Bombyx mori: one gene and its partner. The protein of the gene in region 1 binds, or shares a complex with, the protein of each later gene. Links are inferred from orthologs where the notes say so. Each region holds a gene or a part of one and is shown in the gene's direction. Other genes may lie near its edges.

The links.
Region 2: N-alpha-acetyltransferase 35, NatC auxiliary subunit (region 1) and N-alpha-acetyltransferase 38, NatC auxiliary subunit share a complex: the UniProt entries of both Drosophila melanogaster proteins name them as parts of the N-terminal acetyltransferase C (NatC) complex. The link is inferred for Bombyx mori from reciprocal best matches to the Drosophila melanogaster genes Naa35 and Sbat.

Annotation. Positions count from the first base shown.
Region 1 is NC_085111.1:6,430,328-6,443,438, forward strand, and holds the end of N-alpha-acetyltransferase 35, NatC auxiliary subunit, read left to right. Parts: intron 1-447; coding exon 448-671; intron 672-1,853; coding exon 1,854-2,034; intron 2,035-2,251; coding exon 2,252-2,441; intron 2,442-3,730; coding exon 3,731-3,912; intron 3,913-5,657; coding exon 5,658-5,888; intron 5,889-6,268; coding exon 6,269-6,409; intron 6,410-7,345; coding exon 7,346-7,509; intron 7,510-7,920; coding exon 7,921-8,113; intron 8,114-8,898; coding exon 8,899-9,056; intron 9,057-9,642; coding exon 9,643-9,736; intron 9,737-10,686; coding exon 10,687-10,827; 3' UTR 10,828-10,866; downstream 10,867-13,111. Other genes in the region: uncharacterized protein LOC105842451, read right to left, coding at 12,023-12,117. UniProt on the Drosophila melanogaster protein: Auxillary component of the N-terminal acetyltransferase C (NatC) complex which catalyzes acetylation of N-terminal methionine residues.
Region 2 is NC_085124.1:7,599,708-7,613,171, forward strand, and holds N-alpha-acetyltransferase 38, NatC auxiliary subunit, read left to right. Parts: upstream 1-6,469; 5' UTR 6,470-7,053; coding exon 7,054-7,095; intron 7,096-7,589; coding exon 7,590-7,719; intron 7,720-8,404; coding exon 8,405-8,562; 3' UTR 8,563-8,588; downstream 8,589-13,464. Other genes in the region: nucleic acid dioxygenase ALKBH1, read right to left, coding at 1,752-2,124, 2,498-2,691, 3,658-3,996, 4,838-4,951; uncharacterized protein LOC101745429, read right to left, coding at 8,622-10,107, 10,646-10,887, 10,966-11,156, 11,231-11,372, 12,335-13,464. UniProt on the Drosophila melanogaster protein: Auxiliary component of the N-terminal acetyltransferase C (NatC) complex which catalyzes acetylation of N-terminal methionine residues. May have an accessory function in the survival motor neuron (SMN) complex.

The DNA of each region.
Region 1 (13,111 bases):
CAACTACAGTTTCCCAAATGTAACTTTTTTTTATTGCTTAGATGGGTGGACGAGCTCATAGCCCACCTGATGTTAAGTGGTTACCGGAGCCCATAGACATCTACAACGTAAATGTGCCACCCACCTTGAGACATAAGTTCTAGGGTCTCAGGTATAGTTACAATGGCTGCCCCACCCTTCAAACTGAAACGCATTACTGCTTCACGGCAGTAATAGGCAGGGTGGTGGTACCTACCCGCGCGGACTCTCAAGAGGTCCTACCACCAGTATATCTATCTATTAAATTTGTGACTCTAATGACAAATATCTTTACTAAGTTTTATATTATGTTTTGGAAACTGCCATATATATATAAGAGTCCAGAGTTCAAAGTGATAAGCAAAAAGATGTGGTAAACTCATTAACTATAAAGACTAAGTTGTGTAATATAAAGTTTTATTTATATAGGCCGACAAGTTGAAGATTGATAACATAGAACCTAATGAACTGATTGGAATCATAGATGCAACAATGGCATGTATTGTTTCCTGGTTGGAAGGACATTCTCTTGCTCAGACCGTTTTTACTAATCTGTACCTACATCAGCCACATTCAATAAACAACAAAATTTTGAAGGCATTCTGTATAGCAGTTTACAAACTGTTGGATTGCATAAGAGATTGTATTAACCAGTAAGTTTGATTTGATTGTTCTTTGTGATTAAGATTTCAATAGAAAGCAATTATTATTATTATATATAGAAGGGGGAAAGGCTATTTGGTTTAAGCAACATTTCGGTTGATACTAGACATTTATCTTTGTAATTAAAGGTACATTTTATTTGGTATTAGTATAAACAATTCAGTGTTTTTAATTGAACTTCAATTATTTTTACTGCATTTAAATAACTGAGGAACTTTTTTTGTAATAATATTTTTTCCAAATTTTTTAACTTTAATCGGCTTTCCTGTAAAGTTGCAAACTTGTCGAAAGATATTTTATTATTTTCTATGTATGTAAATTCAAAGATTTTTTTATTTATATTATTTAGACAACTAATGCATCATGACTCGTGAACCTTTTTGAAGTTTTTGTGGCTTAATAGATAAGACACTTAGTGTCTTGAATCAAGCAATTTAACTAAAGTGGTGAATAAACCCATTCTTGCGCGTGACACATTCAGATTTAAAAAATAGGACAGCCAGTATACAATACAAACAAGACTGACCACATCTCCTAATATGTGTGGCGGCATTAGTGTTGTAATGGCTAGTGAGCTTTTACAACCACTTTACATTGGGTGAGCAGTGAAAACGTTTAATCAAATACAACTTTTTTTATAAGTTTTGACTGGATACAACCGGTCATAATCAAACCTGCTACTTATAACTTTGCATAATTACTAGTGAAAATTGTCTGTGAGCCTAGACAGCTACCAACATTTTGCTTATTTTTGCTACAAAATGGTCATGTGTTCGTTTGAATGGTAGGCTCCGGCTGTAGTTGTTAAAATAGAAATCGAGTTTCATCACATGATGGGCCACATTCTAGTCTTGATATCTATGGACTCTTTCATGGAGAAAATGCCTATGATCTCTATGCTGATCAGATTTGTTGGCGATCACAGATGATTTGGGTAGACTGGCTAGCAAGAAATGTACAAGGAGAGCTGAAGACCAGGCTCAGTTGTGTGTGTTTGCCCCATACATAGCTACATAAAAAAAAGGCTAAAGTAGAAGTCAATTTTTCAGTCTGACCTTTACTTTCTACATGAATTGTGCCCTAAAACCTATGGAAAATTTATATAAATGTTATATAAAATGTGTATAGATTTTTTAATTCTTTTAATTTCACACATCTTTTTTCTATTTCAGAGCTCAAGTATTTGAAGAAGAAGATTTTCAGCCAATGGGATATGGGTATTATTTAGGCTCAAATCCACAGTCAGGTCATACTTACGACGCCAGTCTGGAAGTTACTGAGTCCAAATGTATTTCATTACTCAGAGAGCAGGAAGAAGAACTAAACAAAAAAACTAAGAATACTGAAGCTGAGGTAAGCACACCGACAGGTGGTTGAAGCAACAGAACGTAAAATATTTTTATTTTGGAAAAATAATTGTTAATATAAATGTGATGGAAATAAAAAAAAATGGAATAGTGATACAATACAAATTCTGAAAATCATGTGTGAGTTATTGAGTATGAATAAGAAAGGCAAATTGTATAAAATTTTGTAATAAATTTATGCTATTTTTTCATGATTTTATTAGGCAAATATCCTTTGGACAGCACTAGCGGCCAGAATAAGATTCACTAGAATGTTCTACCAAGCTCTTCTATTGATAACAAAGCGTGATTCGAAGTCGGGAGCCGACTGCGTCGCCCTGTTGAACGGTTGTTCGGAAATGATGAAAGTTATCATTAAAACTTCAGGCAAAGGAACGCAGCCTGTGGAGAACTGTAAGTTTAGTTATTCGATTAGGAAATTAATTAGTTTTTTTTTTCTTTTTTTTATTGCTTAGGTGGGTGGACGTGCTCACAGCCCACCTGGTGTTAAGTGGTTACTGAAGCCCATAGACATCTAGAACGCAAATGCGCCACCTACCTTGAGATATAAGTTCTAAGGTCTCAGTATAGTTACAACGGCTGCCCCGCCCTTCAAACCGAAACGCATTACTGCTTCACGGCAGAAATAGGCGGGGTGGTGGTACCTACCCGTGCGGACTAACGTAAGGTCCTACCACCAGTAATTACGCAAATTATAATTTTGCGGGTTTGTTTTTTATTACACGATGTTATTCCTTCACCGCGGAAGTCAATCGTGAACATTTGTTGAGTACGTATTTCATTAGAAAAAAATTTACATTTTACATTACATTTTGAATTAAAACTTTCATTGTTAGTTTTATGTTTATAAAGAAAATCTGCTTAAAAAAAATGAAGTGACTTGATGTCCTTCGTTGAGTGCAATGTATCGCTTCAAAGCCATTTAGCTCATAGCTTTGTCTATTTTTTATAGGGACGTTAGTTATTCTCTATTGATTTGGAAGTTGAAGCCATCACAGTAAACAACTAGTTGACCATGTCTAAAATAATAGTAAAATAATTCATAAAGTAGTTATACGGCAAGAGAATTCAATTAAAACGATCATCAATGTTTATGAAAAATTATAATTTCCAAAAGACATTAAAAATAAAATGCAGTTATTCTTCGACTTTCATTTTGATTGTGAGATGTGCTAGATGAGACTCATCAGATGGAATTTGATCACCGCTGCCGGTGAACATCAGCAATGCAAAGATAGAGCAAGATACGAACCTGATGTCTGATACATACCTCGGGACTACCATCCATACTTTTTTTTTTATTGCTTTGATAGGTGGTCGAGCTCACAGCCCACCTGGTGTAAAGTGTTTACTGGAGCCCATAGACATCTACGACGTAAATGCGCCACCCACCTTGAGATATAAGTTCTAAGGTCTCAGTATAGTTACAACGGCTGCTCCACCTTTCAAACCGAAACGCATTACTGCTTCACGGCAGAAATAGGCGGGGTGGTGGTACCTACCCGCGCGAACTCACAGGAGGTCCTAGCAACAGTAACACCAGTACTTCTTGAACTTTGCTCGAAAAAGAATGTATCATAACACAGCTCCGGGGAAATACCGAAGATAGGAGCAGCAGCCATACAGCAACCATGGCGCAGCGTTAAGAGTGTTATATGTGAACTTTTAATATTATTTTTTAGCCGATTCGCCGAACCCAATGGGATTTGAGCCAATGATAAACCAGCGTCTCCTCCCTCCGACGTTTCCGCGGTACACCCGCATCAAACCAAGAATAGAAGCTCTTCAGTATTTCGACGAGCTCGTTTCGAGACTCCGTCACGCTTGGAAGATCACCTCCTGCACTAACTTCCACACGGCAGTGGTAATGTTTAGTTGTAAATACAAAATTATATTATTGTTTTTTAGGAGTGGGTGATATAAATCGTATATAGATTCAATATCTATATATCGCAGCAATATCGTTGAATCCGATATCGCCCCGCACGAAATCTATATATCGATATCAGCCGATACACGATATTGCTCGATGTGATGCGCATCGCCATATCGTACCGATTCGTGAATCGAAATCTATATTTCGATATCAGCCGATACACGATATTGCTCGATGTGATGCGCATCGGCATATCGTACCGATTCGTTAATATCAGCAATATTCGTTTGGTTCGTATCGAATCGGCCAGAGTGAGTGAGCGCACGATAGGGATATCATGTGATGAATGAAACAGAAACAGGCATTATCCATACAATTGTAAACCTTATATTTAAGTCCATATGTCTGTAGATTATTCTTAGCGTATCAGCAGGATACAATTAAGGAAAGAAGTTTCAACTTTCGACCCTAACTTGAATGCAGTATAGCCTATTTGCATCGTTGAATTTAATTTCACGCGCTTTGACCTTGAACTAGAATTTTTGGACAAGTGTTTATAAATACTTAAAAGTTTTTTGTGTTTGATTTTTAAAGTACACATTTTTCTATTTTTAGTTGAATCCAAATAATTGAGTTTATTTCTTGTGTTTGTATTAAACTTTTGAAATCTACACTCTTTTGGTATATTTTGTAATTTTAAATTAAGACACAAAATACTAAAAACTGAAAATAATGTAGCCAGTCCTAAGCCTGGTAAAAGCATGAAGGAAAGTTTTTTTGATATTTTTATTTTCATGTTCTTTTTATTACTTTAAGATCATATTATAAATTGATATCAGAAAACCAACCGTATAACGTTGACTTAAATCTATATCTACTACGATATTATATCAGCGTATCGTTTCAAATCTCAAATATCATGAATCGAGAAAATCTACTAGCATCCATCAATATATAGATTCAGAAAATATATAGATTCAATATCCGATATTGATCCTCGATACATAGATACGATTCGATACGCGGCAAAACCGATATTACCCACTCCTATTGTTTTTTTTTTAAGGGATTTTATGACCTGGTAACTAAGACCTTTAAGGTCATGGTCTTATTTTAATTTATATTCTTATTTTTATGAAATGAAAAATGATAATATGGAGTGAAATGAAGTGAAATGAAGATGATTAATTTGAGACATTAATCAACTGGGATGAAATTAAATTAAATGAGATGAGATGATATGGAATGAAATATAATCTCAGTAAAATGATGCTCAGTTACTGACATTTTTTCAGTGGACTTTTTGGAGGATCCCGAGAAGTTACGTTCAGCAGCTTTGTTTCATTTTCCCACATTTGTGCACTAATAAACTACCGCTATTACACATTTAAACCTGAAGAAACACTAAACAGACAAAATAAAACAAATCACACAATTTCACTAATCGCGTTCCCGCCAAAAAGTCTACAAAATTATATAGTAAGATTTGTGTATAGATAAAAATATGGTAATTTTTTTGAGAACAATCTACCATGTTTTATTGAATGTTCCTTCCAGAGTAATACAAGGGTTTATGTACAAGTAATATGTTCTACTATAACCACTATTTAGTAACTATGACACAATACTATATTATTATGTTGTTTTTTTACTATATATTATATTGAATATATTATTATACTATATTATTATTATTAAAAACTGCTCAATATAATATTTTATCTATATTTCAGGATTTCTTCATGGAATTCAGCCGTCAGCGCGCTTGTATTTTATCGAGATCTGCACTACAGCTACTGTATCTGAGTCCGTCTCCGGCGACGACGGCCGCCACTGCGCAAACCGTTCCCTCGGGAGTTCCTCGGCCCCACCACATCTTCATTGAGATCCTCAGAGATTCGATCAAGAATTTCGTTAATCCACCGGTTTTAATTAATAAACCAATGATGCCAGGCACTCCGCAGGTTAGTCAGACCATACACAATAGTATCAAAGAAAATAAAATATTTGTAGATAATCTTTTGCACCGCTTTAAGGATGCAATTTATAAAAAAAAAATCTTCGCTGCTTTCTTGTTAAATTTATTGATGTGTTTTCACGCTTTGATTGGCATAAGGGAGTCAACCAATTGTTAATTGACTGTTTGACTCCATAGGTACTCCAACAAGAATGTTACGGGTCACCTTGAGAAATGATTCACTGTATAGTTAAATAATATTTCAAATCGCATTTATGCCAAATAAGTTTTCACTTTGAAAAAATCGTACAACCCTAATATTGAGTCGTGGTACGGTCCGTCAATCAGTTGACATGTTCTGCTAAAACTGATATGTTTGTATTGAAGGCGCGAGAAGTTGTCGAGACTTTTTTGACGAGATGCGTTCGTCCGTTCGCCGTGTTGCTGCAAGTGTGCGGACACAACCGCGCCAGGCAGCGGGATAAGCTGGTGCTCTTGCTCGATGAATTCGCTACTTTGCAAGAAGAGGTATGGTTGTATTATCTGTAAGGGCACTAACAAATACACTACACGGTCAGCTGCTGCGAACTATAGGCGCCGCCATATTGGCCTTGGCTGCTCTGACAAGCGCCTTTCACTTTGTCCCTACTCCGCGGCCGACCGTCACGCGACATGCAACACACAGACGAAAAAGTTTGAGACGATGTAATAAAAGTTTTACTTTAAAAACTTTTAATAAAACGATAAAATAGTTATGGCATAACATAAATAAGTTAATTTTTGAATCCTCTTCTGTATTGAAGAAAATGCCCCTTTTAAAGTCTTCGTTTTTAATGTTCAAGAATGCGGTCGAAAAGAAAGTCAAATGACAGTTAGTAAATACTAATAAAAAAAGACGCAATGTACTACAAAAAAGTAGCTGTTGGGTAAAGACGCACAAGCACAGTGAATGTCCTCCAGTGACTATGTATAATTCGGAAAATGCGTATACCAATCCTAAGTTTTGTACTCGTCCGTTGCGGGTTCACGAAACTTTTTAAAAGGAATCGAATTTTAAAAGGATAAGTCATGCTAACGTTTGAATACAGATTCTTTTTTATTGCTTTGATGGGTGGACGAGCTCACAGCCCACCTGGTGTTAAGTGGTTACTGGAGCCCATAGACATCTACAACGTAAATGCGCCATCCACTTTGAGATATAAATTCTAAGGTCTCAGTATAGTTACAACGGCTGCCCCACCCTTCAAACCGAAACGCATTACTGCTCCACGGCAGAAATAGGCGGGGCGGTGGTACCTACCCGTGCGGACTCACAAGAGGTCCTACCACCAGTAAGAGATTGCTCGAGACGGCTTTTGGAACGATATCCACTGCGCCGTTTTCGTTTAACTAAAAGCACATTCTCGGCTAATTAATTTGATGTACATACTTCGTGATATAAGTTTTCCGTAATTGTATTTTCAGGCGGAGAGCGTGGACGCGATAACGAGTGGCAGCATGGGTACTGGAGATTGTCCGTGCTTCAGCACTTGGGTTCTGTACCACGTGCTGCGTGTAATGATCGCGTATCTACTCTCCGGCTTAGAACTGGAACTGTACTCTGTACATGAATATCATTATATTTTCTGGTGAGTTACGGACACGAATTGCGTCAGTCCACCTCGTGATATGAGGTCGAAGTCTCAATTTGACTGGTGGTAGGACCTCTTGTGAGTCCGCGCGGGTAGGTACCACCACCCTGTCTGTTTCTGCCGTGAAGCAGTAATGCGTTTCGGCTTGAAGGTCGGGGCAGCCGTAACTGTACCTGAGACCTTAGAACTTATATCGAAAGGTGGGTGGCGCATTTACGTTGTAGATGTCGATGGGCTCCAGTAACCACTTAACACCAGGTGGGCTGTGAGCCCGTTCACCCATCTGTGGTCAGATTGAGAATAGATTTGTAATCTATAATTTAAATTAATATCGAAGGTCGAATTTCGATCACTGGGGACCACTAGTACATACAAAGAAATGACGGCTGTAATAAATGGTGTTCGCAGGTATCTGTACGAGTTTCTGTACGGCTGGCTGGTGTCGGCCCTGGGACGAGCTGAAGGCCTGGCCAACGAGACCACCAAGAGAATAGAAGGCAAACGTGCCGGTGTACGGAAACAGAAGAAACGCACGCGCCCTTACGCGAGGGAGGGACTCATGTGTCAAGTCATGCAGAACATGTGCGGGGGATATTATAAGGTAACTAGATGATGATGATGACAATAGTTGTCGGGAAGAGTTGATTATTGAAAACACGAATAAAACAATATTTTCTGAAAATAAATCGTAGCTAGATCGATTTATGGCCCCCAAAATCCCCTGTATACTAAATTTTATGAAAATCGTTGGAGCCGTTTCCAATATAGTTCGGTATAACGTGACTAAGCGACAATAACTGCTTTGTACATAAATCAGGCAATAACCATATTCGATGCGCAAAAAAATATATATTTCTAGGTCTATTAAATTCATTTCAATCCTACAGCTAGATTCGTTAAAATAGATTTTTTTCAGGCATTTCAACTTTAAATTAGTCCACTGTAAAGTTCACGCATTGTCGCTTAGTCACGTTTGCTTTTCAAGCGTCGATATACAAATATAACACTATTCATTTCGACTAAGGTAATCGTAATTACTTACCTTACGTAACTTACAAAAACTTTGTACCCCTTTTTACGAAAATTGCGCAAATGGAGAAATATGGTATTTCCCACACTTATAGATAACATAGAGAAGGAATGCAGAATGCTAATATTTTTTAAGTTATACATTAATAATACATTAAATCAATAAAAAAAAACATTACACACACTACCATATATTTGACATAAACACACACACACGCATAAATGCTCTTTAGTTTATTGTTAAAGTCTGTTACTGTGTCTGTCTATCAAATTGAGAATAACTTTCTAGTTTGGTCAGTTTTTGATTTTCTAACCATTTTCAGTGTCACCCCCCTATAAATTTGATTGTTTCCGCAGGCGTTAGTCGCTTTCAAGCTGCAAGGGAAGATCCGTCAGCCGCAGTCCGAGTTCGACAACGAAGCGGTCCGGTACAAGCACCGGTTCGCGCCGCTCTCCGGCCTGAGTCCGCCCCAAGTCCACTACCACGAGTTCTGCGAGATGACGCAGCCGCTGCAGTGAGTTTTCAGCTTTAAGACACAAGTCGATTGAGTCGATTTTCGAGTAACGCTCGCGCGATCGTCGGGTCGTCGACCTGTGTATGCTGGGTGTTAGGAGTTAAAGTTAGTAATGACAGCTATCATGATGGGACGGGAAAAAAATCGATACAGATTTAAAAAAAAAATCATATTTTTAAAATTTTTTATTAGCATTATTTACGCTCCATCATGTTAGAACATGGAAGTCGTCGTGGCCTAAAGGATAAGACGTTCGGTGCATTCGTATGTAGCGATGCAACGGTGTTCGAATCCCGCCGGCAGGTACCAATTTTTCTAATGGAATACGTACTTAACAAATGTTCACGATTGTACAGTACAGATGGAAAAAAAAATATCGAGGCGTAAAAGATGGTTTTGTTTAAATGACATTTTTCCTATTTTACAAGAGAGTCATTTAAAGTTTAGAAGTTGGAAAAGATAACGTAACAAAAAAACTTTATTAGCCATTTAAATGGAACTTAATTGAAATATAGACGCACCCTAAATTACAAAGATAAATGTCGCGTATACACACCTCGATATAATATGTTTTGTTACATTGCAGGTACGAGAACCCTGTGATTCTGTATCTCGGTGGCTACAAACATTTTCAACAAGCTCGTTCCTTATTGGAAACTATAACCGTTCCCGATCAAGAGGTAAGATTTTTTTATTAATACAGTAATCGAAATGGTTCTGTAGGATTCGTTTAAAAAAAAAAAACAACAATAAAGCTAATTACTAGATCCTATGTTACGTGAAACTTCCTACTTTTTTTATTTTTTTTTATTGCTTGGATGGTTGGACGAACTCACAGCCCACCTGGTGTTAAGTGGTTACTGGAGCCCATAGACATCTACGACGTAAATGCGCCACCCATCTTGAGATATAAGTTCTAAGGTCTCAGTATAGTTACAACGGCTGCCCCACCCTTCAAACCGAAACGCATTACTGCTTCACGGCAGAAATAGGCGGCGTGGTGGTACCTACCCGTGCGGACTCACAAAGGTCCTACCACCAGTAAAGTGACATATAGGCAAAGTAATGAAAGTCTGAATAATCAAAAGTCGAATTTGAGATTTTAGGAAGATATCTGAAATATACTATGGTATTATAATCTAAATATAATAACATCCTACTAAACTGACCATCGTTGAATGTACGAAATACACTGTTTTATTAAAAGTGCATTAGCTCACCACCTTTTTGTGGTACTATGACGAAAACCTTTCCTGATATGTATATGATAAATATCAAGTTTCAAGTAAATTAGACCAGCAATACCAAAACACCTAATATATCAACAAACGAACAATTGGGTGGCAGTAATCTGTACTGTAAAATTATATAATCTACATTAAATGTGGAAATTTGTATCTTTTGTTGTTTCTTAGAGCTTACTAAATTACAGAAGTGACTGAATGAATTTTAATGAAATTTCTCATATCCATCTATTTATCTATTTTTATATTGACTTATTTAATCTAGTTTGAAGAACGATATGAAATAGCTCTCGTGAAACTACATGGAGGGTAGTTCATTGAAAAATATATATGCGTAAACTGGCCACAGAGTAATGTAATTATTAAATAAATAAATTTATTTTCAGGTGCAAGATCTGCTCAAAGTTGCCAAAACAAATTTTGTCGTTTTAAAACTATTAGCGGGAGGACACAAAGCCGACACAACTACATCGCCCGAGTTTGATTTCTCTGTACATAGACACTTTCCTATTATCAAATTAGTTTGATATTATTGTATATATGAATAAATAAATAAAGTTACGTGATCTGTGTATTTTTATGTAGTCTGTGCAGTTTGGCATCCCTAGATAAGAAAATTAATTTATGGCAACATTATCCTAAGTTCTGTAGTGTATTTACGGAGGCTATTACTAAGGAGTAACCTTTGTGCTTAAGAAGCGCCTGTCGAAAAGTAACCATTAATAGGCTGAGGGCGCCCCCGTAGCAAGTGGTGTAATATCGAATTTAGCGCCAAAAGTTAATATATTTTTAACCTAAGCACTGGTAGCCTTGAGGGGCTATTTTAGCTTCTCTTGGCTGTTATTTTTGAAATTCATCACTACACACTCCGTTTACATCTGCGATATTCATATCATACGACTTATTATTAATAGCGCTGTTTTGGTGGATTTTTTATGTTGCAATTAACTTGCAGTTGGACATTTTTTCAAATTGTCACCAATAAAAGAGAGTTTCGTTACCTCTAATCTCCTTATGTGCATTCATTATAAAAAAGAAAAATATTTAATATTTTTACTCAAAAACAAGGTTCAGCGTTACTTCTTTTTGAAGTCGCTTAAAAATAGAAAAAGGGTAACTAAGGAGTAGGAATAGAAAATAAACCGCTCTTTTGGGATTTGGGAATAATTTTCTGTCTGTGTTTTCTGTCTTTGTTCGCTCATATCTCTGGAACTACTGAATGTATTTTTATTTAGTTTGTATACATTAGTATACAGAGGTTAATTCGGAACAGAAAATCATAATATGAATACAGGACAGCATATAATATTTGTTTCATTGAAATAGGATGTTACAAAATTAATAGGTTTTCATTTTATTTATATGAAACTAATGTCTGTCACGCCAAAACCGTTGGGCCGATTCTGACGAAATTGGGTATGGAAATATTTTGATCCCTGGGGAAGAGATACCTTTTATATGAAAGTTAAGCAAGAGAATTAGTGCGTGCGTGCGAAGCTGCGGTTTGGCAGTTAGTATGATAATAACATATTTTCAAAACTCATTATATAATTTTTATCTTTATTTAAATAAGTTTAAAACTTGTATCTTGATATTAAATGTTGGTGAGTTTTACTAAATTTTCTACGATTACAATTACATTGCAATAAATAATAAGTACGTAATTGTATAATATGATATGAAATAATAAATAAATTTTAGTGAATATAAACAGATTTGATCTCATTCTTCTTCTTCTTCGGTGTCTGCATCTGATACATCAGTGTAGCAATCGCCTTCAGTTGTCTTCACTCTCAAGAAATCAGTAGCTTGAGGGCCTGAAATAATAATAACGCATTCTCAAATTGAAGCAAATAGATAGTTTGAAGAGCTACCAAAACATTTGTAAAATAAACAAAGTAGATCAGATCAAAATAATTCAAGGGCCCTTGTAACAGGAATAAGTCGGTACCTAAATAATTAATAAGTCTTCTAAAACCTCTTGAAACATAGATGCTTCTATTTCTAACACTAGAAGCAGCCATTACACAGGTCGCTGCTCTCGGCGAGGAGTTGGGCGTGACAATTATCCCGTAGCATCAGCCCGCTGAGCTTATCACCGATTCTTCTCAGCGGGTCGATATTTTCGGCCCAGTAGTCGACGCACTCGCAAATTAGGTGCCTTTGAGTTGATAGGCTTCGTCCATTTTCAAACACCAACTTTTCTGGGTGAGATTGTGCTTGCTCACCTATTCTGGCGAAGTTGTAATAACCTCGGAGCGAAAAGCAATCCCTCCGTCCCGAAAAAACCTATGGTTTCGGTTTCTTGGCGTTTTGCAGACTTTTTACACTACCTATATATTGGAAGGAAGTATTTACTATGGTAGTAGCTAGCAGTTTCCATGTGAACGTTAGTGTTGCTGTTATCGCCTTGTATGACCAAGGTTATTTTTCCACTCAAACAGTGAGACACGCCATAAAAACAAAATGACTTAACAAACTACTGTCACTAGCTGGCAACAGGTGCAGTCCTATGTCCTTAAATGACAATTTACTACCTACCTACCTACCTACTAATTATACTCGAGACCTTAGAACTTATATCTCAAGGTGGGTGGCGCATTTACGTCGTAGATGTCTATGAGCTTAAGTAACCACTTAACACCAGGTGGGCTGTGAGCTCGTCCACCCATATAAGCAATAAAAAAATACCTACCTCTCTAATTCTTATGGAAAATGAAAATATTACTATAAATCTCTAATTCTTATGGAAAATGAAAATATTTATACATACACATCCACAACGATTTATTAGATGCGGGGTTAGAAAAA
Region 2 (13,464 bases), on another chromosome or scaffold:
AAAGGAGAATAGAAATTTCTTTATCCGTATGGTTTCAGAACCCGTTTTTAGAACCAGTATGGTTTCATAATTGTGACAATAATTGACTAATGAATCGTTACACCCAAAACCAAATTATAATATACTTAATGTTCAAATCCAGAAAAACCTCATTTGTTTTCAGATTTTGAAACAACGTTATCAAGTCATATAAAAAAAGCCAGAATCAATGAGACTTTAATTTATCTTTGCGACTTTTAATACTCATTTTTTTATGCATGCTTCATTCAAATTTGAAACTAAAAAAATTAAGCAATATAAAAAATAAAACAAACTAAGTAGGTAGTCCTGAAATTTTGCACCATGCAGTTTTGATTTTAATTAGATGTGATCAATGCATTAAAACTACTTCACACTTAAAATCCTGTTTCACCAACGGAATGAAGTAATTTAGTTAATTAATTATTTTACTTACTTTAGATCGTCCAGGTAAAAAAAATATTGACGAGATTGACTAACGCGATTATGTTGAGGATCAAATGATACGGTAGATAAAGAGCTAAGGATAAATAGTAAGGTAGTATTAATAAGCAAGTACCCAATTAATCTAAAAATTTGAAGATTGGGTTAGCTGTTGACAGCTGAAGACATTGCCGTTATAAAATTTGTATAGAACCTTCTTACAATCCGTCATTCATTAATTTTATAACCACATTCTCTTTGAATTGAACCATTGTCATTCAAAATGGAAAAATAAACAGGAAAATGCTAATCTAAATTATAAGTACTTTATGCAATTTTAAAATACTTTTTTTAATCATGTTCACAAAATCTCAGTGTAATCACTACTTTAAACCGATAGTTCGTAGACTTGGGTCGTATAGAACTAAAGACGAATACGATTGTTATGTGGAAGGCTACGTTAAATGTTTTTGGAGTCTCTGTGACCGACATAACAGCATCGACAACTTCACAGAAAAACGCAATGAGAAAAGTAGGTAATTGATTAGTGTATTTAAAAGTAATTTCGTCGTAAGTAAAAATCTAAGTTCTTTACTGGTTACCACGCGTGGGTCTTCTGTATCGTTCCTAAACAATTATGAATGGAATTAAAGCAAAGGCCGTGTCTCCGGGTGGCCTCTAACGCGCTGTGTGCTTAGTGCGAGTTTTTTAACGTTTTCGACAGCGTAAAAATTAGTTCATTGTATGGACTGTGATCGTTTGCCTACGTTTGCCGCTAGGGGCGTTGTTCCAACTGCATACTAAATTGGGCTAACTTTTACGCTATCGAGAACGTTAAAAAACTCGCACTAAGCACACTAATAGCCCACCACAGAAGAACGGTTTTAGATTTGCCTACGGTCGAGAGGGGCAGACTTATGCGCCAGTAGTCTTAGCGCGTGTACTATCTTAGTGAACGTATACCAGTTGATGACCTAGCTGTCATTTGCTTCTGAATTGCATGTCACTTATCGGCCTCTGTAAATCCTATTAAATATTATACGGCGGAGGCGTACTGCTATAACCAACGTAAAAGGACCCAGTAACATGATAACGCGTACGCATTGTACAGGTTCGATTAAAAAAGTATTAGCAAAAATATGATATTTTTATTATAACGCTGTAGAAATGGTCAAAAATAATTTGTTTTTTCATTTTGCAGTCATAACAAAGGAACCTCGGAAGCAAGAATGGCCTTGCAAAACACATAGGGACTTTAAAATAATATTTTTAGAATAAGAATGGACGACGGAATAAAAAACTGTTTTGTTCTAAGAAAAAAATTCGTCGGCCAAACTAATCTGTTTTTCATTCAATACTTGTCTAACATTAATGTTAATTCTGGATTCCTTGATGTAATTTTCGAATTCACTCCACTTGTCGTTTTCTATATTTTCATTCATTGCTTCAATTGTTTCTTTCGGATTCGAAATGTACATAAAAGATGGCATTTTATTAAAATCAAGCTCCGAAAGATCTGAATTCCATGGTTGATGGTATTCCGGTAATATTTTAGGCACAGCATGATAACACAACCTTGCTTCTTTGGACATTACAACTATGTCTCCACTTTTTAGTAGTATCGCTGATGGTTCGATGGACTTCTCCCGGCCCCCTATTAAAAATATAGCAGATTGGCCAAAACTGAAAACAATAATTTTAAAGAATTTACTGGAATTGAACACAATTCGAGTAACTGTGGCGGGTAGCCATCATACAACGCAAGATATTTGACAGATGCCTGAATCTCGCTTACGACATTTTCAAAATAAGCATATATACAAGTTCCGAACAACATTCAGACAGTCGGTCTACATAGACATCATAGCGCTCACGTACACTTAAAATGGGATTTTTCTTGCTTTTATTTTAAACACGGGCTCTTGTTCTTTGTTTTGTGTATCTTGATTTTGAATTTGTAATTTTGAGCCATAATTATTAATATAATCTCACAGAAATACGTCAATAAATTAAAAACAAATAAATAAACCACTACCGACAAGCCTAGAGAAAGTACCTAAATGAAAATAATGGTGCATCTAAGTTGACCTCCGAGTGATCAGTGTGAGCGGACAGTGTAGAATTCTTGTGGTAGTAATTAACAATAGCCGCCTCAGCTCTGAATTTCGCAAATCCAAGATACTGAGCCACGACACTTGACAGTTCTGACAAATCTTCTGGAAAAGGAGTCTTGTTCTCTTCACTATATGCCTGAAAATGAAAATAAATATTTTGCAATATATCAAACAGTTTATTAATCTAGAGTTGTTCTCCTATTTCAAAGCACTATATTAAACTAATTAAGTATATTATAATATAAAAATGTAACACTATATTATAAACACATTTGATTAAATGATCTGTATGCAATCAATCAAGTACAAAAGGGTATGTAAATATACAAGCACGCTGTGCATATTAGCGATCTGAACGACAAAGTACACTGGATTAAATGTTGGTACATTACTTTCCTATCTTCTTAACATCAAACCACCCCCTACTGACACTACTGAAGCAGAGTTCACTAGGTTTAGCTGGGAACACTTGCTTCTGGTATAGTGCATATTTATCTCCCTTACAACCATGTAGCATTAGTATTATAAGATAAGCAGCAGTGTGGCTCCTAACATTACTAATATCCATCAGTGGCAGTGGCCACTTTTCACCATGTAAACTGAAAGCTCATCTGCTTACTAAGCTTATAAAAAATTTCTAAGAGTCTAGAACTATTAGTGACTTTTATTAAAGGCACATGCTGTATTAACTTAGTGTAATTGTGGGCAATATAGTATAATAGATAATGGTGCCACAGATATCAGATACCCTAAGGGTCATGTGGGGCCATTACACTTGTAATGCATCTCAATAAATTAATTGCAGGTTCCATGATAATCATATACCCATCACAGAGTACCTTTGGATGAATTTCAATTACTGGACAAACCTAGAGGTCATGAATTTACCTGCTAACCTAAATAAGTTTATTCTAATTTTTTTAAAGCTCAAATAATGTTTTAAATTTGCAGACTTGCTACAAACAGGGCAAACAAATATTATTGTCTGATCATAATTTTTAATAAATAAATAAATTATTATTTTTTTCGTTAAGTGTAATCTCATCACATATTTCTTTAAAACAAAACTGAATTTTATTAAATAATAATAATAACATTTTACTTTTGTGTTCCAATTGTGATGATAACCCAATGTTGTCCACCTAAGTTTTTTTAACAATTTTTTATCACATTCCATACTTTTGTGACATTCTCTCCACCAGTCATCTAAATTATCAATTTCTATATCAATATTTATTTTATTCGGTTTCTTTGGATATCTTTCCAAGCATCTTTTGATCCAATATCTTTGACCAGATCCAGTGAATGGATTCCTTATTAACATTAAACCAGGGTGCTGAACAAAACTGTAAGTTTTCCATTTGTTTTTGTTTATCAAACCTAAGCACTGTGTAAGATTGTCTTCACATTTATAATTTGTATTGCATTCTAAAAGTTTCACCTGAAAAATAAATGCCAAAGTTTAAATTATGCTAATGTTATCATTGGCCACTAAATACTACAATCAATAATATTAAATTGAACATGTGTCGAAAATATAATTTAAACTGGTGAGCAAAATTAGGGGTAAAATTCAACATTCAACATTTCACATCTTTCTCAAAAGTGGATGAATTTATTTATTTTTTGGCTATACGTGTACTTATACATACAATATACATTGGGATGATCTTGTTTCACTCGTAAAATATGTGTCCTAGATGTCTAAAAGCAACTGCAATAATGGGTAGCTTCATTTTGCCTTCAAAGGCTTTGTGGGCATAGATGTCCGGTAACTACATTCCCGATATCCTGCGGACCAAATGGTATACAGTCAACTTTGCCCAAAATACGTCATTGCAGATCCTCCTGATCTACTAAAGGTCCTTTTTGGTACCCCAGGTACTGGTCATCATTCTTGTCGAATCCATCGCTTGCGACGAAGAGCTCGGCCAGTAAATTAACGCACAGACACAGCCCACTGAGTTTCTTGGCCTGATCTTCTCAGTGGGTCGCATTTCCAATCCAGTGGTAGAATCTGCGAAGCACTGCTCTTTTTAGGGCTAGTATTAGCAAATCTTCTCAGGTTGAGCTCGTAAGCTCAGCTACTCGTCCGGACGTAACTGGAATAGCCTCTTAGGCCTCCAGCAAAGGTTAGAGGTTAGCTCTAGGGTCATTATACAGTGGAAACAAATACTTTTGTATAGAGGCGTGTAGAGTGGTGTGTACAGAATAGTGTTGTAATGACTAAACGCCGTTCCCTTTTAGTTAATTTGTTAAAAGGGATTTGGTAATTTACCTACCTCTGAAGTTGTAATATCCACAGATATGACACTATTGAGAGATGGTTGTGGTTTATTAGATTTAAAATATTTAAATTGCTTCATAAACAAATCTACGCCTGTACTCTGAGACATAATAATTAAATCATAACATACAGTATGTATGTACTTTTCGGAATTTATGCAATAACAATAAAACTATCTTTACTAAGAAGTTGAAGAGCTGTCAGTAGTACTTTTATTTTTCCAAATGGAAAGGCAAAGGCATCATACCATACAGCCAAATTTTTTGTATATTTTTTTATTTTATTTTATGAAATATGATGTTATGAAATGAAATGAAGTTGATTAATATGAAACATGGCATGAAATTAAATAAGATGAGATTTTCGGTAGGCAGCGGCTTGGCTTTGCCCCTGGCATTGCTGAAGTCCATGGGCGACGGTAACCACTCACCATCAGGTAGGCCGTATCAGCCGTATGCTCGTCTGCCTATAAGGGCAATACAAAAAAAAGAAAAGAAAGATGATATAATATGGGATATTTTTATGGAAGATGATAATATGAAGTGAAATGAAATGAAGATGATTAATTTGAGACATTAATCAACTGGGATGAAATTAAATGAAATGAGATGAGATGATATGGGATGAAATATAATCTCAGTAAAATAGTGGTCGTTTACTGAGATTTTTTCAGTGGACTTTTTGAAGGATCCCGAGAAGTTAGGTCCAGCGGCTTTGTTTCATTTTCCCACATTTGTGCACTTTCAAATGTATTTAACTGTTAATAAACCACCGTTATTACACATTTAAACCTGAAGAAACACTAAATAGAAAAAATAAAACAAATCACACAACTTCACTCCTCGCGTTCCCGCCAAAAAATCCTTGAAGAGCTGTCATGACAAATAACAATAAAAGCATAATTTATTGACGGGTTTTTATGACCTGGTAACTAAGACCAAGTTTAGGACAAGTCTTATTTTAATTTTAACGAAAACTTTTTTATATGAATAATGATATTATGAAATGAAATGAATTTGATTAATATGAAACATGGCATGAAATGAAATGAAATGAAAACGAAATGAAATGAAATGAAATGAGATGATAATGAAACTGCACAAATGAGGGAAAATTAAACGCTCGAAGTTGTTGACGAGTTTATCTGGGACACACTGTCCAGCTAAGTAAGTCCAACTTCGAAAAAGAGGTCAACCGTCGAATCCAGCTCGCATGGAAAGCGTTCGGGAAGCTACGTAAAATCTTCTCATCACAAATACCACAGTGTCTCAAGACGAAAGTCTTTGACCAGTGTGCGTTACCAGTGATGACATATGGCACTGAGACGTAGACGCTCACAATGGGCCTTATGAGAAGAATCAAAGTCACCCAAAGAGCAATAGAGAGGGCTATGCTCGGAGTTTCCCTGCGAGATCAAATCAGAAATGAGGAGATTCGCAAGAAAACCATGGTAACCGATTAGCCCAAAGGATTGCGACATTGAAGTGGCAGTGGGCAGGACACATTGCTCATAGAACGGATGGCCGTTGGGGCCAGAAAGTTCTTGAGTGGCGACCGCGTACCGGAAGACATAGCGTGGGTAGGCCTCCAACAAGATGGACCGACGACGTATTGAGGTTCGCGGGGATCCGCTGGCAGGCAGCGCAGGACCGGTCTTTGTGGCGAGGCTTGGGGGAGGCCTATGTCCAGCAGTGGACGTCTGTGGGCTGTTATGAAGAACAAGAAGTTATTTCATCCCATATCATCTCATCTCATTTCATCCCATTTAATTAATGTCTCAAATTAATCATTTTCATTTCATTTCGTTTTCATTTCATTTCATGCCATGTTTCATATTAATCAACTTCATTTCATAATATCATTTTTCATTTAAAAAGTTTTCATTAAAATTAAAATAAGACTTGACTTAAAGATCTTAGTTACCAGGTCATAAAATCCCCTAACTTAGAGAATTACATTTGAGAGTTCAAACCACTGAAATAAGAAACCTTGAAACCTAAGGTCTATGGTTCAAAAAAAATATTTGATTTTGATTTGGTCAAATTAAGTTTTACATGACAGATAAAAATGCTTTGTGTGTAACCTAGGTTTCCTACTTCAATGGTGTAACCATGTACCTGGCTACAAAATAATGCCGTATAAAAATACTTCCAGACTTTAGCAAGAAACTCGTTTATTGTTCAGGGATAAAGATTTGAACAAGCTAAGGAAATGAGTAATGAAGGCAATAAAACGACTTCGGAAGCACCTCAGGTATGATAAAAATAAACTCACGTCTACAAATAAAATATACATAATATTTAGGTTAGCATCGAAAGTGAATAAGACTTCTTTTAAAAGAATAATATTGTATGTAGACAAGCCAATTATATATTTGCTAAATTTCGCCTCCCTTCATTAATTAATTTTACGTACATGACTTTTGATTCAGGCTTTTTTAACATTAATACAAGTTATATTCCTATTTGGCCTTCCAGGAAAAATCATTTAAATTATTGATGTTTACACATTGACATAATCATAAATTCTAGATATTTAGATAGTTCATAATTAAATGTAATTGACTGAGTAACGCTAGATTTAGGTATCAAAGTAATGCTTGATCTCTTATTTCCCATGAAATATAATTAAGGATGAACAAGAGATATAAAAATAATTCCTTTTAAATATTTTTTGTTATTTCAAACCTGTACATAGACATAATGGATTAGATAGTACCTACTACTTTTAATAATTGTATACTTCAGGTGGTGGAGGAAGAAGGAAAGGCAAAACTTAGAAAATGGTTAAATATGAAATTTAGAATTGAAATGACCGATGGCAGAGTTCTGATAGGAGTGTTCCTGTGTACAGATAGAGATGCAAATGTAATTTTAGGTATGGATTAAATACTTTTATAGAGCTCTTGTAGGTTGAGTATACAATCTTGTAAAAATTATTGAATTCACATATTATATCACAAGTGTGTAGGTTTACCAATAGTATATCATGTGCTTATATGAGTCGTCTATTATCAAAGGTAGCAATCTGTGCATTTGGACAAAAAAATTTTATTGATATTTCAATACAGATTGATTTGAATATAATCGTCTCCTTCAAAGAATACGGTTCAAAACCTGCATTAAATAAAGGTTAATACTTAACCTGTTATTTATCTAAGATGTCGTTCAGAAGAGTTTTGTGACTGCCAATGGAATACAAAGTCAATAATTCGTTTTTCTGATTTACCAATAATTATCCAAAAGTCACATTGCCGGCTTTGATAATAGTCGACTCATATATAGTATGGTTGACAAAAATCACACAAACAAATATTATACATTTAAAGCCCCAAGCTAGTGTTCGTGTGTTATGAGCACAAAAATGCCAGAACCTAAATAATAAATAATTATCCTTATAGGTAATGGTATAAGACAAACATTGAAAGCAGTAGTGAAATTAGCTGATTATCAACATATTATCCTTTTGTCTGTAGCTAATAAATGTATAGGCTCAAGTTGTACCAATCAATTTTTATGATTGGTGAAATACCTAATTTTGTTACATATAAATTGTATTTTAGGTGCTTGCTCAGAGTACTTGAAAAATAATGAGGGAGAAACTGAAGAACCCAGAGTATTAGGTCTAGTCATGGTTCCTGGAAGACACATTGTGTCAATACAAATTGATGATACAACACCATCTCAAACATACTATTATGATGAATATCTAATTAAATAAATGTTATTATAATTGAGTGCAAATAACATTTTTTCTTTATCTCATATACTTTATTTAGGTTAATCAGAGTTCTTCAAACTTTCCAAAAGTTGCTGCAAAACATCTACTTCTAAGTATATATTTTTAAGTTCATTAGCAAATGGGTTAAACTCATCCTTTTGTTTGTTATTGAGATTTTGCAGTACTTCAGACAAGTCATTAAAAAGCATTTCAATTTCATTTGGTTCACAAAATAAACTTTCTAGAAACTCTTTTTGCATAATTCTTTTAAGGCAGATATAACATTGTTTTTCGGCAGATTCTTGACTTATATTTTTGTAAAAAATGACACTCAAATTTCTGACATCCACATCTTCATCTTGTAATAAAATAATGGCTGATTTCAGAGAGTTAATCTTCACAATTTTAGGTAATTTCTTAAATACTTCTGCAACTTTATTATTAGCTAATGCAGCGATGTGCCGCATGTTTACATCCATCTTAGGATCAGACAATTGCCATATAATTTTAGAAAAATGCAACTGAACATTTTCTTCTAAACATTCTAGTACTTTTGCTGCTAATGGAACAATGTACCTAAGTTTATATGAAAACACCAAGTCCACTGAATTGTTTAAGAAGGAAATAATCTCAAAACTTTTAGTTAAATCAGTCCTTAGAGACACTTCAAATATAATTTTCCAAATGTAACTGCTTTCATATTTTTTGTTAAACTCCAGTAAAGTATTTGTAATTTCTAAGAGAATAGGTTCGGAAATAATCATATCTCTTTTCATTTTCAACAGCAAATACTTGAGACATCTATCATAACCCTCATGATTGAAAAACATTTTTAATAAATTTGGAATTTCAAACCACGGACACGTCCGAAGATACTTTTGTAAACGCGCATCTGCCCAAAGAAATACTCCTGGTTCATACATTTTGTTTTCTAAAACGAAAAAGGTATCTTCTATATCATTTAAAGCCAGAGGTTTGTTACAAAATATATCTTCAAAGTATTGTTTACATAAGTATGAATGTACTTTATTTGTTAAAATATTTTCAATATAACTTTTCGTCTTATCAAATGTATCCATGTTAAGAGATTCCTCTGTATAATGTTTCAACAACATAAGCGTACCATGAATAAAATTTTCAGAATTAAATTTTCCATATGACAGTAAGCCAATTTCTTCAAATTTAAAATTATTTGAAATGCATTTAGCTGATAACCTTCTGACTATATATATTGGACTACCTAATAGTAGTATCAAACTTGTCAGCAATTCGTCAACCTGTGATTCGCAATCAAAAGAAAGATTATATCTCTTTGCGCAACTGGCCAATAAATTTAAAATGGGTACTAGATTCGAATGAGACACTATTTGAATAGATTGGCTCTCTATACGTAATCGGGTCGTGATCATCTTCCACAGTCTTGGAGAATGAGTTCGCAATTCGTCCCAAGCTACCGTCGCAATTGTATTATCGTCAGTGCCAAGGGCCTTTTTTTGTCCTATTTGTCGTGGAATCAATGCACCATAAAGTTGTAAAGCTGCGTTCCTATTATAGAAATAAAACAATTAGTTTCATTTATCGAAATGAATCTAGTATAGTTTGCCAGGGCCCAGACACCGAAACAAGAGTGCTGTAGCCTATCTTAATCTTTTTAGGTTGAACTAGTTGAACATCGGAATAACGACCATCTTCAATCGAGGCACGAGGCAGCGACTTGGCTGTGCCTCTGGCTTTGCTAAAGTCCATGAGCGACGATAAGCACTTACCATTAGGTGGACCGTATGCTCGTCTACCTACAAAGCCAATTAAAAAAAACTTCAAAACAGTATAGTATCTTTAACAGTCATTGTTCTCAATTCGTCGAGTACGCCGTCGAAGTGCGAACAATGACTGTTACAACCGTACGGCCTACGCTTTATATTTAATTTAGAGCAGTAGATTTTGGTACCTAGTTAAATAAGTTGAGGTATCATTTGAGGAAGTAAAAAGAGTAAATGGTAATCTCATCTACTTTCCGATTAATACCCGAACATATTATCAATGTGTAAGATCCTTTGAGGTATTATTCATCTAAAAAAAATACCTTATTTGCCAATGTTCGCTGGTTAGGTTTAAAAACGCCAGTTCGGAGAGCTCTGATGAGTAGTACATTACGTCACAAGCCAAACTGCTGTCAGTTACTACTTTTGTTAAGAAGTGGATGTAGATAGCTTTAGGTAAATCCATTTCGTTTTCTAAAACGGAAGCATTGTCTTCTAGTTTGGGTACATCGAGTACGGAGTTACACAGCTCCAATATGTTCTTTAAAAAATAGTGAAATAGCGGCTAGAAAGAATTAATAGCATATGAGATTTGTTTGGTAAAATAATATTCTACCATAATTCGTGAACAAATTCAAATTACCTTTCCCTTATTCATGTCACTTGAAACAATTCTGTGAACCATTATAGGAAGACCTGCTCCTCTTCGTGTTATGGATGCCATATTATAGACTTTAGATATCAACTCGTTTAATTTAGATTCAAGGAAGCTATTCATTGAATTTAAAATATTCGACTCCTCAGGTAAAGATGTCAAACATTGTATAACTTTTCCTGAAAAAAAAAAAAAAAACCTTAATTTTTTAATAAATTAAAAGATATATCATGCTATATATCATGATACCTACCTAATGCTGCACCTGCAGCTTCGATTGCCCCTTTATGTCGTGAGCTCTCTAGAACGTGAGTAATGAGTTCTAAACATTTTCTACATGTTTCAAAGTCATCCTTATTAAATTGCACCAAGAGTGAAGCTAAATCACACGATGCCTGCAATATATGTACTTCTATTTAATATTTTGATTGTTATTCAAATTGTTCGGTGTTGACACATCTCATGCGAGTGGTCGCAAGACTTGGCAATGTTCTAGATTTTTAGGTAAAGTGGGTGTTAAACGTTTAGTGTTTTATTAAAAGGTTGGAGTTGTGCTTACTGAAGCGCAATTCTCGACAGCGAAAATGACATCGCTCAACATGATATGTGAGGATTTTGATTTCAATGTAAGGCAAGCTTCAGTTTGCTTGGTGCGAGTTCTTTAACGTTCTCGATAGCGTAAAAGTTAGCCCAATTTTGTATGCAGTTGGAACAGCGCCCCTAGCGGCAAACATAGGCAAACGATCCCATTCCATACACAAATATGAGCTAACTTTTACGCTATCGATAACGTTAAAAAACTCGCACTAAACACACAGACCGCAAAGTTACTCTGCGGTAAAATTAGAGATAGTCTAAACCAATATCACATCAATATAGATTTATAATGTCCCACTACAAATATGTACAAATTATGTAAAGGGGGTTTATATTATAGTATACGCATGTTCATGGTTTTTTGTTGCTAACTAAAGTAGGTAGGTACCTAGATGAGTGTGCTGCAGCCCACCTAATCCCACTTGAGTGGGAGCTACAGTTGCTCGTTAAATCAATGATACCGCTCGAACCGTGTCAATCTCGAAGGAGTCTCCGTGAATCAATGTTCCTTTAAGGAGTATCTAGGGCTACTCATTGAAAAAGCGGCAAAAAAGTATTGATCCTGGATAAATCTTCTTCACAGTTCTAATATGTTATGTTTCACAGCTAATATACAAACTTGTTTTCAATTACCCTACTAGGCCTGGGATATAGGTCTCTCACCAAATTTTCGTTCATACAGACTATGGTTTGAGTAGTAAACTGCTCCTGTAACGAAATGTATAATAACAATAATAACCTTATTTAATTAAAAACTTACCTTAACGTTTAACCAAAGGCAATTCAAAACAATTTGATGTATGCCTGAAATTTTTACTTCATCGTTTTCATTATAAGCTGAATTTTCAGATTGAGCTATCATTCCCTCAACCACTTCGCTCATTTTTGCAAAATCTGAACTAGTACAATTATCTTGCTCCCAAGTGAATTGATTGGTAGTATATTGCAAAACACGAATTAACTCATGAATTGTATCAGTTGATAATCGTATGTTAAATGAGTTGTCAATACAAACTTCTAGCACTACTATCAAAATATTTATGAATGAATATAATTGTGTCTCGTTTTCAATTGAAGTCATTATATCCTTTTTGTATTCAGATAGTAACTCATTATAAGCATAGTTGAAAATTTCTTCAATGCTTTGATACTTTGTTTCAATGTTTCTGGGTATTAATAATAAATTACTGAGTAATTTCAACATACTTTGACCACAATTACTTACAAAGAAGAATTTACTTCTAATGCAAGAAAGAGCTTCTGTCGCCAAATTGTTTAGGAAATTCGCATTTTGTATTTCATTTAAGTAGTATTTCAGTAATAATTGAACTACATTTTCTCTTACATCATCTGAAGGATCCTTCAAAAGCTTAATTAATATCTCAGTCATTTTTTCTCCACCCAAAAACCATTGATTCTCTGTTTTTAGATAATGCAGTAGAGATGTGTTAGTCTGTCTTATCTGTTTTTTCTTCTTTCTAGGAACTTCATTGAAGCACTCCATAATCAAATAAGTCAGTTTAACTGCTGTTATTTTCCTTTGATAATTGCCATTCAACTCTAAAGATTCAAATACTATTTCTTGCAAGCTTTTACAAAAGCAAATGAGATCTATTACATCACAATTTTTGTAGGTTTTCATATAGTTTAAATAGGAAACGTGTAGTTGGTTTAAAAATGATTTTAAACTTCGCATCATATTTAATCTCAGTACAGTGCAGTCTGAGTTCATATTGTTCTTTAAGTACTCCAGAACATGTGTGTATTCCCTTTGTATGGGCAGTGATTTACTATGTGAAACACAAACAATATCGAAAGCGTCTATACGCAGCGGAGCAATTTTGTGTTCCAAAGCCATCTCTACCGTATTCATGATATTATTTGAGCCGC